Linked DNA regions of Daphnia pulex. The protein of the gene in region 2 interacts with the protein of the main gene of each other region in a biochemical or structural test. Links are inferred from orthologs where the notes say so. Each region holds a gene or a part of one and is shown on either strand. Other genes may lie near its edges. The genes, in order: ATP-binding cassette sub-family D member 3-like and peroxisomal biogenesis factor 19-like.

What was found.
Region 1: the proteins of peroxisomal biogenesis factor 19-like (region 2) and ATP-binding cassette sub-family D member 3-like form a complex in vitro, tested with the Homo sapiens proteins (4 studies listed by BioGRID and IntAct, with this or other methods). The link is inferred for Daphnia pulex from reciprocal best matches to the Homo sapiens genes PEX19 and ABCD3.

The regions. Positions count from the first base shown.
Region 1 is NC_060017.1:3,002,834-3,007,431, forward strand, and holds the start of ATP-binding cassette sub-family D member 3-like, read right to left. Parts: upstream 2,891-4,598; 5' UTR 2,705-2,890; coding exon 2,562-2,704; intron 2,500-2,561; coding exon 2,460-2,499; intron 2,405-2,459; coding exon 2,214-2,404; intron 2,153-2,213; coding exon 2,083-2,152; intron 2,020-2,082; coding exon 1,993-2,019; intron 1,880-1,992; coding exon 1,809-1,879; intron 1,746-1,808; coding exon 1,565-1,745; intron 1,509-1,564; coding exon 1,296-1,508; intron 1,231-1,295; coding exon 1,161-1,230; intron 1,096-1,160; coding exon 1,001-1,095; intron 929-1,000; coding exon 449-928; intron 360-448; coding exon 84-359; intron 1-83. Other genes in the region: pleckstrin homology domain-containing family F member 2-like, read left to right, coding at 3,241-3,256, 3,434-3,498, 3,568-3,705, 3,773-3,836, 3,899-4,024, 4,079-4,185, 4,250-4,406, 4,471-4,553. UniProt on the Homo sapiens protein: Broad substrate specificity ATP-dependent transporter of the ATP-binding cassette (ABC) family that catalyzes the transport of long-chain fatty acids (LCFA)-CoA, dicarboxylic acids-CoA, long-branched-chain fatty acids-CoA and bile acids from the cytosol to the peroxisome lumen for beta-oxydation.
Region 2 is NC_060022.1:6,085,133-6,088,565, reverse strand, and holds peroxisomal biogenesis factor 19-like, read right to left. Parts: upstream 2,024-3,433; 5' UTR 1,867-2,023; coding exon 1,764-1,866; intron 1,699-1,763; coding exon 1,373-1,698; intron 1,302-1,372; coding exon 1,110-1,301; intron 1,043-1,109; coding exon 839-1,042; intron 779-838; coding exon 680-778; 3' UTR 565-679; downstream 1-564. Other genes in the region: DNA-binding protein Ets97D-like, read left to right, coding at 1-81, 159-523. UniProt on the Homo sapiens protein: Necessary for early peroxisomal biogenesis. Acts both as a cytosolic chaperone and as an import receptor for peroxisomal membrane proteins (PMPs).

The DNA.
Region 1 (4,598 bases), on a different chromosome or scaffold from region 2:
AAAACAACGTCGAAGAAGATGAAAACTTGTTGTCGTCCAGGGAAACAATCAAACTTTTTCAAAGTACAAAATGCAATACTTACGGCAATCCGTTGTTTCTCACCGCCACTGAGCACATCCATCCAGTCGGCAACAGCGTCCCAACGGCCGTCTCGTTCTTGGATGTAAGTCAATTTAACCAGATCGAGATATGTGAGCAAATCGTTGTCATGAATTCCTTTGCGCACCATGTCATCATAGGTGTCTGGATAAATCACTTGATCACGCAATGAACCTAAAGTCATGTACGGTCGCTGAGGAATGTAGAACAACTTGCCCGGTCCCGGTTTAGTCAAGGTACCACCAAACACCGGCCACAGCTTCAATTATTCAAAAGAATCCAAGAGACAAGTGCATCAGTGGTTATTGGTCAACATATGAAATGAAACGTATCATCGATTTTCCTTACCTCTCCCAACACTCTGAACAAGGACGATTTACCACAGCCATTGGGTCCACATACGAGCACGTTCATTCCCGAATGGACTTCAAACGACATGTCTTCAATCAGGACGTCGCCGTTGGGTGTTACCAAGGGCACGTGCTCGAAATGGATAATATTGTCCTTGTTGATGATTCGACCAGCTCCGGGAATCAAGGGCACTCGCGACACAACTTTTCCTTCACCTAAATGTCCACATATTTTCGAAAGAGACAAAATTCGGGTTAATATTTTCTTCCCAACACAAGTAGCATTGCAATTCAAACCGTTCTCATTGGAGACCATAGTACGCTGATATCGGCCGTTATTCAAATCTTGTAAAACAGTAATTAATTCAGTCACACGCAATGTGAATCCAGCCAGTCGTGTTAGTTCTCGGCCTGCCAGAACCAAACGGCCGATAGCTTCAGCCAACTTAACCAACATACGACCACTTTTGTAGTATTGCTATAAACGGATTAAAAATGTTAAATTAAACGGTGATCGGTGTTTCTTTTTTCAGTGAAATTTTATACTTGCCTCCAAACGCTCACTAGATCCAGCGGTGGACAGATGATGTGTCGTACTAAAGAACGGGCGACTAACGACAAAAAATCCTACGGCAGTTGCAATATCTGCCAATTGAATGGATCGATAGAATAAATTCTGTTTGTTGGGTTCAGATTTTAATTTAACCTACATTTAGCGATTATGTTGTCCACAAATCCCATCGTGAAACGGAATTCCAAAAATCGACGGAGATGTCTCACCTATCAATCATGAACGAAATGATACTGGTTTGAAATAAAACAAACAACTTTCAAGGTAAAATTACCAAACGAGTGAATGCCGTCAACATCGTATGCTTTTCACGAACGTTTCCTCGATAGAAGGCCACCTCTTCGGCGTTGGTGATCAACCGCGAATTGACGTAGCGGAATTCACCCTCTAGTTGTTGCTCCGAAACCGTCATACGACTCACTGGACGGCGCAAGTGAGTCAACAAGACTCCGGAAACGAACAAATAAAGAACCATAATGCTAGGACCCTAAATTAAGCAATGATTAGGTAAGGTATGAATTCAAAAATTGAAAATGGTTTTACTTGTCCACCAATTGTAACAGCCAATCTATGAACATAGATGACAATGTCCAAAATAGGTTTGCTAATGTTCGAATAGAGTTCTGTGATGCTCGAGCAGAATCGTTCGACATCGGTTGTAAGTAGTTGATCCGGATTTGAAATTCGGTTGTCGAGGTTGTTCATTTTGTAGTATGTGAAATCTCTGTTGCAAATCATTGCTGTTCAGCGTTTTGTTTATAACTTCATTATAACAAAAAATACGTACTTTAAGTATTGGTCATAGAGATGGCGAGTCAGTCGAGTTCTAAAGCGGAGTTTAAGTTCGTCCAATCCAAGCTAAATGAAAATATCTGACTTTTAATTTCAATTTGCCTTAACACAAAAGCAAATGTGAACTGATATTTTGGAATTGGGACTACAGTGAAACCTAAAATGAAAATTCATTTTACCTTCAAGACATTGTTCACCATAGAAATCTAAACAAAACACAAAATAAATTAAAATTGCTATGTTGGAACTGACAAATTTACACTTCATACCATTGGCATTGCTGCAATGAACTGGATTACATAACTTTTGAAAAGTGGAAAATTGCGCCCAATAATAGCACTGCATTACCAAAAATTGCATTAGATAATTGGAGGTGAATAAAATATTGCAAAATAATAACCTTTCAATTGATGTTGAATTCTGAATCATCCATATATCACAACTGGATCTGGCTACTAATGCTGCAGCCACTAAAATCATGAAGCCAGCTTCAGGTGAAAATACTCCAGGTATGATGATACGCAAGATGGCAGCAATACGTTTGATGAATGTACCATCGATTGCCACCTTCTCAGCTGACCTTTTGTTTTTCTGTGAAAAAATTGTTAAAATTGCTTTGCAAAACATGAATATTTTAAATCCTTACCTCGTTGATGACATATTGAATTCTTTCAGCAGCAGCAGCTCTGGAAACAAAAGAAAAGAGAGTAAAACACTTGCCATACAGGTTTTTTTTTGTAATATTTACCTTCTGTTTTGATTAGTTCTATGAACACTAGCAAGCCACAGCAGAAGTGCGAGGCCTCCCCCGGTAACAGCAATCGGTTTCCCCAAAATACTAGACAAAAAGCCAGGGCTTTTGCTAACTAGTTTACTGAAGACTGGAGCCATAGCTGGGCAAAACAGGTGTAAAAAAAATATTCTTCCTTTATCACTCCTTCACCACGATTATTGTGTCGAGTCACGGTAGGTAGCAGAAAACTTCAAAATCCTGTAATAACCATAAAACACCTGAGGCTTTTTATCGGTACACGAACTCGGAATTTCCCCGACCTCAGACTTGTTAAAAAATAAAAGGCATGCTTAGGGTCCAGCGACGACATCTAGGTAGCAGGTTGTTGAACTGAATTTTGTCGAGGTTTTTGCTTTTAATTATTTTTTGTCAAGTGATGGTGTAATTTTTAAATAAAAGAAATAACGCTGATAATGCTGATATTTGAATCTCCATAAATCAATGTAATTCGTTCACTTCGCTTGTAAGCCGAATGCGAATTGCAAAACGTCACGCTCACGCTCTTGGTTTACCTAGTTCGGTTCCACTAGATGGCGAGGATATATTTTTTCCCCAACAATTACGACATTATTCCGTACTTTCGATACTATTGTGCGTGTGAGTCATATTGGGAGCAGATGACAACAAGCCGAAGATGGTCGACAAATTAGGTAAATTATCGAATATTTTAGAGAAATTTCAAATTGGTTTTCAAAACACGCCACATTCCTAGTTTTCAATGTCAATCAAGAGTAGTTTTCCAGTCTCCTTGATGCTGTTTATAGAGACATTATTGGAACTGGTTCAAGTTACTACGTGAAACTCATATGTTTTTTACGTTGTTACAGTGAACAGTGAAGCAAATGCTCGCCGAATCGCCATGGTCGAAGGCTGCTTCGGCAGTTCTGGTCATGTGAGTAGAAAATGTAACTTTTCTTTTGTTAATGGAACCTGACTAATGGCATTTATATTTGACATGTAGCCTCTTGGGATTCCAGGGCGGGTGTTGGTTGGTGAAGGAGTCTTGACAAAAATGTGCCGGAAAAAGCCTAAAGCTAGGCAGTTTTTTTTATTCAATGATACATTGGTTTATGGAAACATTGTGATTAGCAAAAAAAAGGTAGTAATGAACAAATATTTTTCAAATCATAACATCAATTTTAAGAAATGTTTACTTGTGCTGGTAGTATAACAAGCAACACATTATCCCTTTGGAAGAGATTAAACTTCAGTCTCTGGAAGATGATGGACGTAAGTAGAAAAGTTACCGTTACTAAAATACCAAATTTTTTAATATTATTTTGGTGTTTTAGCTTACAGGAATGGTTGGTTAATTTGTACTGCATCAAAATCTTTTGCTGTTTATGCTGCCACAGCAACTGAAAAAGCTGAATGGATTGCCCACATTAACAAATGTGTTGAAGACCTTTTACGCAAAAGTGAGTCTTATTAAAACACTTTGAAATAAAGTTGACTTCACTGTAATGATTTAGGTGGGAAGAAACCGCTAGGAGAACATGCCGCCGTGTGGGTTCCAGACGCTGAGGCGAATGTTTGTATGCACTGCAACAAGTCACAGTTCAATGTGTTAAACAGAAGGGTAAATATCGGAATTTTGTGTAGTATCAAGTGATATAAATGTTTATTTGTTTTACTTTTTGAAGCATCATTGCCGAAAATGTGGAGCAGTTGTTTGTGGCCCGTGTTCCAATAAGAAGTTTTTATTACCCGTTCAGTCAGCCAAGCCTTTAAGAGTCTGCCTCACCTGTCACGATGTTTTAACTAAAACCAAAAATAATGGAGGACCTAATGTGTCTTTGAGTAATTCAAATATTATCGCTTTTCTTCTTTATTCCTGTAATATTAATTTTTGCATCTTCGTAAGACGGGGACCTGAGCATGGATTCTTCTGGTGAAGATGACGACGACGATGATGAGGATCCAGAAAATCTTTCTTCTTCGAATGAAGTAATCCCAAACTTCAAATTTAAATGAATAATAAGTCCATTTAAT
Region 2 (3,433 bases):
TTGTTACTCCAGCAAAAAGGATTCCCCTTGAAACATTTTCCTCGCGTTCGTTCTCGATTGCTAACTCAGGAAACCGAACAGGTATTTAAAAAATATAGTATATGTATGCTTTAATGATCAAGGTGATTTTAACTTGAATTAACTTGTCCGTTTCACAGGCAGCAATGGCCAGGTACAACTCTGGCAGTTTCTCCTTGAGCTGTTGACCGATGTGAATTTCCGGGATGCTATTTCTTGGCTTGGGACAGGAGGAGAATTCAAATTAAATAACCCCGAAATGGTGGCTCAACTATGGGGAGAAAGGAAAAACAAACCACACATGAACTATGAGAAACTCAGTCGAGCCCTGAGGTATTATTATGATGGCGATATGATTTGCAAAGTAAGCGGTAAACGATTTGTGTATAAATTTGTTTGTGACCTCAAACAACTGTTGGGCTATTCGGCTGATGAACTTAATAAGCTTGTAACAGAGTGTGAGCAACGATCCAAAATGAGACGGGCAAGTTCGTCATACGTGTAAATACAAAACGTATTTGTTTAAATCATTGAGAATTGACGCCATTAATGATAAAATTAAGTTGTAATGCCGTTCAAACAATTTTTTTTAACGACCTTCTAATACCTTTTATAGCCCAATTTCAATAACAAAAACATGTTTTATAACATACTATATTAATTACATAACAACACAATTTTCGGCACCAGGTCCCATCGATTGAGCAAAATCCGCGCCACCGAAGGGATTCGGTAGCAGTTCAGCTTCACCAGCCAGTTCCTTGAAATTAAGATTTTTCATTAAATGAAAATCAATCAAATTATTCGTAGTCGCACTCACTTTAGGGGGATGGCCACATTCTTGCATTTGTTGCATCAAAGTTAATATCTTTTCAAAGCGACTATTTTTCGTCGCTGCATCATCAGTGTCGTTATCATTTTCGAATTCGGTACACACTTGCTGCATAACGGCGTATTGGCGGTTGTATTTTTCAAATTGCGCAGGTTCTAATTTCGGCCGATTGTCTGCGAGCCAATCTGGGTACTAAGGAGATAACAATAAGTTATGAGAGACAAGATTGACTATCATCAGTTCTCAAGTGAATGCTTACCTTGCTAACAATCTCTTTGATAGATGGATAAAGCAACTCCTTTGATAACAAACTTTGAAGCATTCCTTGCATTGCAGGTAAAATGTCACCCAAACCTCCCATATCTCCACCAGCACCATCTCCAAATCCCCCATCTGGTCCAAATGCCATTTTTTCAAGCATTTTGGCTAATGTAGCTTCATCAGCTTCAGTCTATGGAAAAAATAAGGACATGTTAAAGTAAAAATAAAAAAGTTTGGTTTATCCTACCCACAAAAATTTACCTGAAGTGATTCTGTTCCTTCTGCTAAATAGCGTAGAGTATCAGCAAAGGATGCTCCCTGGTCTGGTTGTCTTTCAAATACTTTAGCTGCAGCTTCTTGTGATACCTTTAACAAACTTTCAGCAAATCCAGAATCACCACTGGCCCCTGGTGCTGTTTCTGCCATCATCAAACGAATATTTTTCTCAAATTCCAAACTCGCTTCTTGAATAAACTCCTCAGACCACACAACATCTGATACTTGATCTGTAGGTGCTGCTGCTTCGGCTTTAACATTGTCTTTTGTTTTGGGCACTTGCAGTGGCTTGTCAAATCCTTCCAGGGCATCTGTTACATTTAATGAATGTTTTATTCCTTTGTTGGCAAATAACTAGTTAGTTTAAACTACATACCGTCAAGTAAAGCGTCTAGTTCTTCGTCATCTCCTTTAGATTCTTCTTTAATATCTGCCGTATCTTGTACAGACTTTGGATCATTAGAACCGGTTCCACTCATACTGAAATGTATCTATTTACAGCAAAGTACAGAATTGTATAAGTAGAAATAGATTTCGATATCAATAATATCGACACAGGCTTCAAAACTTGCTCATCCGGAAATTTCGACAAGGAAAAGAGTGCAAGACCAGACAAGACGACGAAATACTACCTCATAAATAAAACGCGATGTTGCCGAAATCATTCGGTATTTAGTGATGGTTCGTGCGTGCGTGAATGAAGCAGATGCGCTTCATCATGATTCATGAATGCTTGTTTATTAAAATTATATTTGGCGTGAAAAATGAATTAAAACAAATCACTTTTTTTTTAGGTTTTGAATTTTGCGTCTTTATTGGGAGAGTAAAATGTATTTTTTGTTCTGAATAACAGAAGCGACTGCTCATTCATAAATATTTTCTAAACCTAACAGTAATATTTCGTAACATAGTCAAAATCAAAGATTTCCATTAGGGCGGTTGCTTTAAGCTTAGTCTTGCTTTAACAAATGAAAACAGAACATCGAACATGTCGTTATATCCCGTTGTTACCAGTCGAGCAGTCGTTACCATCCCGCCTTTGCTTCAAAGTTCAAATCAATTTCACTTACCTGCCAGACCCAAATTAAAAGCTATGAAAGAAGGAATTTTGAAAAAGTACGTTCAGTTGGTAAAGGTAATATGTCTTCCGACAAAATGACAGTAAAAATTGTGATATTCTATAACGTACACGGTGGTCTGCCTTGCCGCAATAGTGCTTGTCCATTGCTGATACCAAAATCAATACATGAGTAGTAGTTTTCACTGATCCTCCAATATCTTGCTTCGTTTTATTCTTCCTCTTCTCTTCTTCACGAATTGCTGTACTACCGATTCTGGAATGACACATCGCGAATGTTCACCAAATCAAGAAAATTCACCATCTAGCCTACCTGGTATGATTTCGAGATGGTGGAGTCATTTTTTTTTTTAAGGCAAACTTCAATTGCTTAAAAAAATAATTGACACATAATGTGTTGAATGCTGATAAAATGGAAATTCAAGTATGAATCAAAATGAGTGAACTTAAAAAAATGCAAGTAATGCATCTGTATTTCATTCATTAAAAATGTAAACATTCAACATGACCTGCACCAACCCAATTTCACCCCTGATACTAGTTAATAAAAAAATTTTGGTTTTAAACACGCGATCCATATTCTAACAGAGTTTTAAATCATTTTAGATAACAGCTTATAGCTGTAACGGATTAATAACCTTTATGTGATAAAGTTACAGGACGAACATTTAGGCTGCAATTTCTATTGGTAATGAATTCGGCTGAAGTTCGTTTGGGGGACATTTTTACTCTTTAAAAAAGACACAGTTTAACCACTGTTAAACGAGAACAAATGATCATAGCCAAATGATTCGTAGCACCTCCTAAGTACTAATAAGACCGGGGAAAACTGTATGGGTGCTCAGTATTTGCATGTAAGGAGAAACGATACACAAAAAGGAGAAAAGCACTGGAAGAGCACTTCAAGTTTAACGTGGAATTAAAAATAAAAATTTTCGATATGGGGAACAAATTGCTTTGATTGCTTT